2 linked regions of the Macaca fascicularis genome follow. Each later gene encodes a partner of the first gene's protein in a complex. Links are inferred from orthologs where the notes say so. Each region holds a gene or a part of one and is shown in the gene's direction. Other genes may lie near its edges.

The links. Proteins that work in one complex are often made in the same cells at the same time.
Region 2: AHI1 (region 1) and TMEM107 share a complex: the UniProt entries of both Homo sapiens proteins name them as parts of the tectonic-like complex. The link is inferred for Macaca fascicularis from reciprocal best matches to the Homo sapiens genes AHI1 and TMEM107.

Annotation. Positions count from the first base shown.
Region 1 is NC_088378.1:39,470,506-39,474,005, reverse strand, and holds part of AHI1 (jouberin), read left to right. Parts: intron 1-2,576; coding exon 2,577-2,806; intron 2,807-3,500. UniProt on the Homo sapiens protein: Involved in vesicle trafficking and required for ciliogenesis, formation of primary non-motile cilium, and recruitment of RAB8A to the basal body of primary cilium.
Region 2 is NC_088390.1:8,261,417-8,265,540, reverse strand, and holds TMEM107 (transmembrane protein 107), read left to right. Parts: upstream 1-1,324; 5' UTR 1,325-1,449; coding exon 1,450-1,536; intron 1,537-1,712; coding exon 1,713-1,780; intron 1,781-1,863; coding exon 1,864-1,982; intron 1,983-2,822; exon of another isoform or gene 2,823-2,921; intron 2,922-3,088; coding exon 3,089-3,185; intron 3,186-3,430; coding exon 3,431-3,500; 3' UTR 3,501-3,702; downstream 3,703-4,124. UniProt on the Homo sapiens protein: Plays a role in cilia formation and embryonic patterning. Requires for normal Sonic hedgehog (Shh) signaling in the neural tube and acts in combination with GLI2 and GLI3 to pattern ventral and intermediate neuronal cell types.

The DNA of each region.
Region 1 (3,500 bases):
CTCCCTCCTAAAAGGCTCACAATTTTGTCACATCCTCTCTATCGCGTTTGCTTTAATTCAAGCCCTATTTTGCTGTTGACCTCAGTGTTCAGTCTCTAAGTCCTCTGTCTCTGCTGTGCTAAAATTATCTTTCCGTAACTATCTTTCATAATGCCTTAATTTTTTAAAAGACTTTACCCATTGCCCCTTGAAAAATTTTCCAGTTCCTTAGCATGGACAGGCATGTTCCTCATGGACCCAACATTCTTCTCTCATGCCCTTCCCTGTACCCTTTGCTTCACCCATGTAATCTTTTGAAACACCCTAGCATCTTATCTTCTTTGGCATCTTCCTGCCCTTTGAAACTTACCTACTTTTCCTATACCTAAATGACCTTCTCCTACCCTTGCTGACTAACTCATTCGTTCAACAAAAATTAAATGCCTTTTGTGAGCTCTCATAGGTTTGTAGTTATTAGTTACAATCCAGCTCAACTTCTGTTATTCCTTGAAGCTATCTTGGGTTTCTGCACACAATACGTAGTATATTATACTAAAGCACACATTTTTTCCTTATTTATCTTTAAAACTGATATTAATTTAGGACTGTTTACATCATTAAAATAGTATTGTGAAAGCATTAACTGAGTGAAAAGAGAAGCATTGTGGCTAGCATCAAAACGGCAAGGAGATTTTTGAGAGAGGTAAGGAATACTTGTAATAAATGAGCTGTTGTCCAAAGAAAGAGAATTAGAATTGCAAATGCTCATAAGTGGCAGAAGTATGGATTTCTGTCCATGTCTTCGCCTTCTTTATTCCTGAGGATCCCTGACACATATTATTGTCAGTGTCTCCTAAGTATTTCCCACTTGGTTAGCTCTCTGCCATATGGGTTTATCCTAAACACCCTTATTTAGTTATCCCCAGAATAATCTGTTTTTCTCAAATCAACAACGCCCAATATAGTCAGAAAGACTTTTCCATGTATAATGGCTCCCAAACATGTTCCCACTATTCCCTTTTCCCAAACATACGGCTTAACTTTGGTATGTTTTTTCTTTCCCAAATCTAGTAATTTTTGTGTGCGTTCATTCAGTCTTTACAAGTTTGTGTTTCTTTGTTGTCTATTATCTAGTCTGATTTTTTTTCCCCAAGCCCATTTATATATTCCTTTGAATGTCAGATTCTCCCATGGCCTGGGTAACAGAAGCCATCATTGATTCCAGTTCAGTTTTTACACAAAAAGCTTTACTTTTTTTTTTTTTTTTAATATTATGTCTAATTATATTGAGCTGTTTTGAAGATGTATTTGCTTCATTTCTGCCTGTTATATAGTATTTTAAATAATGCTACTAAGATTTCTTGCCAAACAACTGAGTTTTTTATCTTTTATCTTTTTAATATTTTCCCAAAGTTAGTGGTTTTATTCTTCTAATAGACATCATATTTCATATAAATATGCTTATTGAAAATATACTGTGGTAAAAAATGTTTGTGCAATTGATTCATGTGCTTTATTTTTACTTGAAAACATGTTCTTTCACTTCCTCTATTATTAGTTTGGATTCTTAGTAATTGAAGATCATATCCTATATTGTAAGCAGCTGCTGAGGAAACTCATAGAATATTATTCTTGAATAGAAACTGTTTTTTTTTTCTCTTATCAGTAATCTTGTAACAGACTTACTTTGCTTTAGTTTTCAAGCAGTGATTAAAAGGATGAATACAAATCCCATATTTAAAATTAATATGTTGTTCTAATTTTGATAACCAAATATATTTTAAAAACTAGTGCTTCACACTTATATAGCACCTGTATATTGGTAGAGTTCACCTAGTTTTATACATTGCTAGAGATGCAGAGTATCTAACAGATTAACCCTTAGGGATTTACTCATTTGTCAAGACTGTCGCAGTGATTATAATCTTAATTTTTTTTAATTAGCCATTATTTAGAGGACAGGATAATGAGTGTTAAACAAAAAGGACGTGCTTAATGTAGGATAGTCTTTTCTATCAAAATGTCATAGTTATTTTAATCTTATTTTACTTGAGAATTCAAAATATAATAATTTTAGTATCTCTTTTAAATCTTTGAGATTTTCATTTTTACTATCTAGGCTTTGAAATTACAAATATAAAAGTTAATAGACTATGCTATTCTCTAAACCCCCATTAATAAACATTTTGTAAAAGTGGTGTACACAATGTAAATGGGAAATCATTAAAGTTTCTCCCTGTATATTTTTTATGCATATTGTACTAAATGCAATATTTTACCAACTGTTCAATGTGTGTTTAACCAATGGCAAAATAGGTAGGTTTAAAAAACAGTTATTAATTTTATAGTATAGATTACAATTAGTGGATATAATATGCTGGATGATAACTATAACAAATAACTTTGTCATAATGTGAAAATTCAAGTCATCAAATATGAGATCATCATCATATTTTTCATTGTTTTAAAACTTAGTTTATCATTGGTTGTTGTCAGTTGCTTACTTAAGGTTCATTGGCTATGTTGGTTCTTAGAAAAACTGTTAAAAGAAACTTCTGCTTTTAAGAAGCAATATGTAACTTCTTATCCTTTTCCAGGATATGGAAAAATGAAATAAACAATACAAATACTTTCAAAGTTTTACCTCATCCTTCTTTTGTTTACACGGCTAAATTCCATCCAGCTGTAAGAGAGCTGGTAGTTACAGGATGCTATGATTCCATGATACGGATATGGAAAGTTGAGATGAGCGAGGATTCTGCCATGTTGGTCCGACAGTTTGACGTTCACAAAAGTTTTATCAACTCACTTTGTTTTGATACTGAAGGTATGTCAGAGAGTATGAATGAAGACCAGCTATGTGAAGAATTTTTTTTACCAGAATAATAGTTATCGAGGCTTGAGAGGGTTATGTACTGATGATTGTGCATATTTAGGTGTATGCTTGTTTTGCAGGTCATATGATAGATTTGACATTGAAGGAGTTCTGTTTGTAATTTTTAAGTTACTCTTAAATATTTAAAATTGCATAAATATATTTCTTTGGACTGGTGATTATCATTCTTACTTTCTTTCAAGAACCTTAAAATTTGCAAACATATAGAAGGGAAATATGCAATTATTTAAAGTAAGAATAATATAGTGGCTGGGCGCTGTGGCTCATGCCTGTAATCCCAACACTTTGGGAGGCCAAGATGGGTTGATCACGAGGTCCGGAGACCAAGACCATCCTGGCTAACATGGTGAAACACCATCTCTACTAAAAATACAAAAAATTAGCTGGGTGTGGTGCTGGGTGCCTGTAGTCCCAGCTACTTGGGAGGCTGAGGCAGGAGAATCGCTTTGAACGTGGGAGGTAGAGGTTGCAGTGAGCTGAGATCGCGCTACTGCACTCCAGCCTGGGTGACAGAGTGAGACTCTGTCTCAAAAAAAAAGAATAATGTAGTATGTCTTAAAGATGTAAAACATAAATCATTTTATTATCTGAAAGAATAAAGAAATTTATTATATCTATTAAATAG
Region 2 (4,124 bases), on another chromosome or scaffold:
TAGCTGGGATTACAGGCACGCGCCACCACATCCGGCTAATTTTGTATTTTTAGTGGAGATGGGGTTTCAGCATGTTGGTCAGGCTTGTCTCGAACTCCTGACCTCAGATGATCCGCCCTCCTGGGCCTCCCAAAGCGCTGGGATTACAGGCGTGAGCCACTGTGCCTGGCCCGCGTATCCCTGTTTGTAGCACCTATTATCTTACGGATTTATTTGTTTGCATGTCTGTTGTTGATCTCCCTGACTAGAATACTATTACTAGGTAATAAATAAATATATAAAAATATTTGTTGAAGGAATGAGAAATGCCTCTTGGGCTTGTACTTTAGTCTGGCTAAAGGCACTGAGACGTCGAGTGGGAAGTAGGAAGATATTGTTCTCCTGGGAAATGGGCCGGGAGTTTCCTTGAGGATGGGACTTGACTGAGCAATTAGAGAAGAACTTTCAGATCTGCAGGGACCTGCGCTGAGGCCCAAAGGTCATGACGTCGCCGGTGATAAGAGCTTCCTGGACTGTAGCTGGGCAATGTCGGAGGTCCAGCACCTCCAAGAGATAAAGAAATCTAAGTTGAGTTTCCCTTCCCGTAGGCTCCAAGCCTCCCAGAGACGCAGGGACTGTACCATTCCCTTCGTCCACTCCCACCTTTCCAGCCACCTTGCTTTGCTCTTATTCCCACGCTAGTTTAAGGACGCGGACCACTTTTTGCACTCTGCAAATCCTTCACCAAACTGAGCAAAGTAGTCTGAGAGAAATCAGTCTTCCTCAAGGAAGGTTCAGGCCTAGGGTCCTCAGACAACCAGGGGCTCTGTGACAATCTGTAACTGCCGAGCAGTCCAGGAACACCGGCCTCTCCACGTTCGGGTCCCTTGTTTCTCAGGCCCAGCTTGGTGGGAAGTTAAAGGCATGAGGAGAGGAGGAAGGGGAGCGGGTGTGAGTCTTCGGCATGGCGGGGACCTCAGCCCGGCGTGGCGGTGGGAGTGATCTCAAGTGATCCACAACTGGGCAGCGTAGCTGGGGCTGGGGGCCGCTCCCGGCGTGGGCAACCGCGGAAGCAGAGGTGTCCCCAGGCTAGGCCAGGGTGGGTTTCCGTTCGTCGGCCCTGCGTGGGCAGATCGGGCGCTGCGCGGCTGTGCCACCCCTCACCCTCTGAGAAACAAAGGGCCTGGCTGCGCACGGGTACCCAGCCATTGGGTTAGAAGCTCCTTCGGGTACCCCTGACCTGAGTTAGCCCTGAAAGACCCACAGCAGATGGAGAATGTACTGCTCTCGCGAGGTTTTCCGAGAACGCGGCAGCACGCCCGCGTACGCGGTTACCAAGGCAACTGGGCGGTGCCTGAGCTGGCGGAAAGGAGGAGTTCGTCTAGATTTGTCCGCTTGCTGGTGGACTTGCGGGAGTCGCAGTCTCTGAACTTCCAGCCTCAGAGACCGCCGCTCTTGTTCCCAAGGGCCATGGGCCGGGTCTCAGGGCTTGTGCCCTCTCGCTTCCTGACGATCCTGGCGCATCTGGTGGTCGTCATCACCTTATTCTGGTCCCGGGTAAGACCCACGGCTGCCCTCCGTCCGCCCCCATTCCCATCTCGGAGTCGTCCCCGCCCCACCCTGCCCCTCTCCCAGTGTCTTACCCACTTGGGTTTTCTCGTGTTCCGCCGTCCCTAGGCCTGCCCAGCAGCCTGCCCCTTTTTCACTTCTCTTCCTCTCTGCCCTGCTCCCAGGACAGCAACATTCAGGCCTGCCTGCCTCTCAGGTTCACCCCCGAGGAGTATGACAAGCAGGACATTCAGTGAGCTCTTAGGACGGGGTGGCCAGAACGAAGAGGTGGTGGGAGTGGAGGGGTCTTAGAAGAAGTCCAAAGGCCTGAGCCAGTCCACTTCCTCTCTGCAGGCTGGTGGCCGCGCTTTCTGTCACCCTGGGCCTCTTTGCAGTGGAGCTGGCCGGTTTCCTCTCAGGAGTCTCCATGTTCAACAGCACCCAGAGCCTCATCTGTATCCTTTCTGCCTGCCCACCTTTCCCACACGACCCATTTCTATCAGGACTCCCTTCAGCCACCTGACACAATAGTGTCTGCTGTAGCCAGTCTCTCCAGTTCAAAGATCTTCAACCATGTGCTAAATCCTGCTGTTTACTAGGCACTTAAAATTCCGAAATGAGAGTAAAATACAGTTTTTGGCCAGGCACGTTGGCTCACGTCTGTAATCCCAGCACTGTGGGAGGCCCGCGCAGGAGGCAACATAGTTAGACCCCGTGTCTACAAAATAAATAGTAATAATAAAAACTCCACTTTTTTTTTTTTTAACCATGAGGAGGAGGTAGATACACATCTGTAATTCAGTGTGATAAGCAGTGTGCTATGGGAGTGTGTAAAGATAGCACAGGCAGGGTGCGATGGCTCATGCCTGTAATGCCAGCACTTTGGGAGACCGAGGCAGGTGGATCACCTGAGGTCAGGAGTTCAAGACCAGCCTGACCAACATAGTGAAACCCTGTCTGTACTAAAAATACAGAAATTAGTCGGGCGTGGCGGTGCACTCCTGTAATCCCAGCTACTCAGGAGGCTGAGGAAGGAGAATTGCTTGAACCCAGGAGGCAGAGGTTGCAGTGAGCTGAGATCGTGCCACTGCACTCCAGCCTGGGCGACAGAGCAAGACTCTGGCAAAAAACGAAAGATATAAAGCACATTGGGAACTCAGAAGAGGCAACGGAAGCCAGGCACATGGGTCAGAGAATTGTGGACCAGGAGGACCAGGACACTGGAGGCTGATTCCAGCGCATATCAAGTCGCTGTCAGCACTCCTGTGTGGCATAGCAGGAGAGCCTACTCTTACCTCTCATCTGAAGGATCCAGGCTGGCCCCTAGATATGGAGTAGGGTAGCCTGAGATCCCATCTGCGCAGTCACTTCTGGTCTCTCCTCACATGACTGTCCTAAAATTCAGAAGTCGGGGATGCTGACTCTAGCCCTTGCAATATGGTGAGGGAGCAAACGATGAACCTGAATGCAGATGCCAACCCCACCACTGGCCTTTGGCCTTTTCTGACCCCTCACTATCTGTCGATCCAAAGACTTTCCTTAACTCTGGTGCCTTCCCAAGCCATTGGGGCTCACTGTAGTGCATCCGTGGCCCTGTCCTTCTTCATATTCGAGCGTTGGGAGTGCACTACGTATTGGTACATTTTTGTCTTCTGCAGGTGTGGTAGCATCCAATATTCGGGAATGAGGGAGGAAGGCTGACCCTAAACCTGAGGGTTTTTCCCCCACCCAGCCCTTTCCTCTATGTGTGAGATACCAGATCCACTTAACATCCTGTAGTCTTTTGAATTTTCATTCCCTACCCCATGCCACCTGTCCTACACTTTCAGGGGTGGGGTCTCTGGTTTGGAGATTTGGGTATTTATATTGAAAGGGTTTCTGAATTTACCACTTGCCTCGGTAGTGCCCTTCCAGCTGTCACTGAAATGACTTTATTCGTCACCGTCTTTGGGCTGAAAAAGAAACCTTTCTGAGCACCTTCATGACGGGAACCTAAGGACGAAGGCTACAGGGGCAAGGGCCGCTTCGTATTCCTGGAAGAAGGAAGGCATAGGCTTCGGTCCTCCCCTCGGAAACTGCTTCTGCTGGAGGATATGTGTTGGAATAATTACGTCTTGAGTCTGGGATTATCCGCATTGTATTTAGTGGTTTGTAATAAAATATGTTTTGTAGTAAGATTAAGACATATACAGTTTTCAAGGCACAATTGAGATGGCGAAACTACTGAAGAAAAAAAAAGAAGCAACGTTATTTTCTAGTTCTGCAGACCGTAAGATACTTGGTATCGCTTCTATTTTGGTTATTACGGTAGTTGTCTGGCGGAAGGGAGTGGGCGGAGATATGTAAATAGAAAGTGCTTACAGTTAGAACGTCCAGCACGTAAATGATCGGAGCATTCTGGGAAAAAGAAATGTATTCCTTTTCGGCAGCCGAATGAAAAAATTCTTTTAAAAATGTGCAAGCAAATATGGCAATACAACTGGAAGGATGCTAAGTAGTAGGGTTACTCATACCAACGCGTCGTGAACTCACCCTAGCTGTAAACGGAATCTTTTTGACTGAGTGCGGAATGTCGGCTCTTTAGAAATATCGTCAGG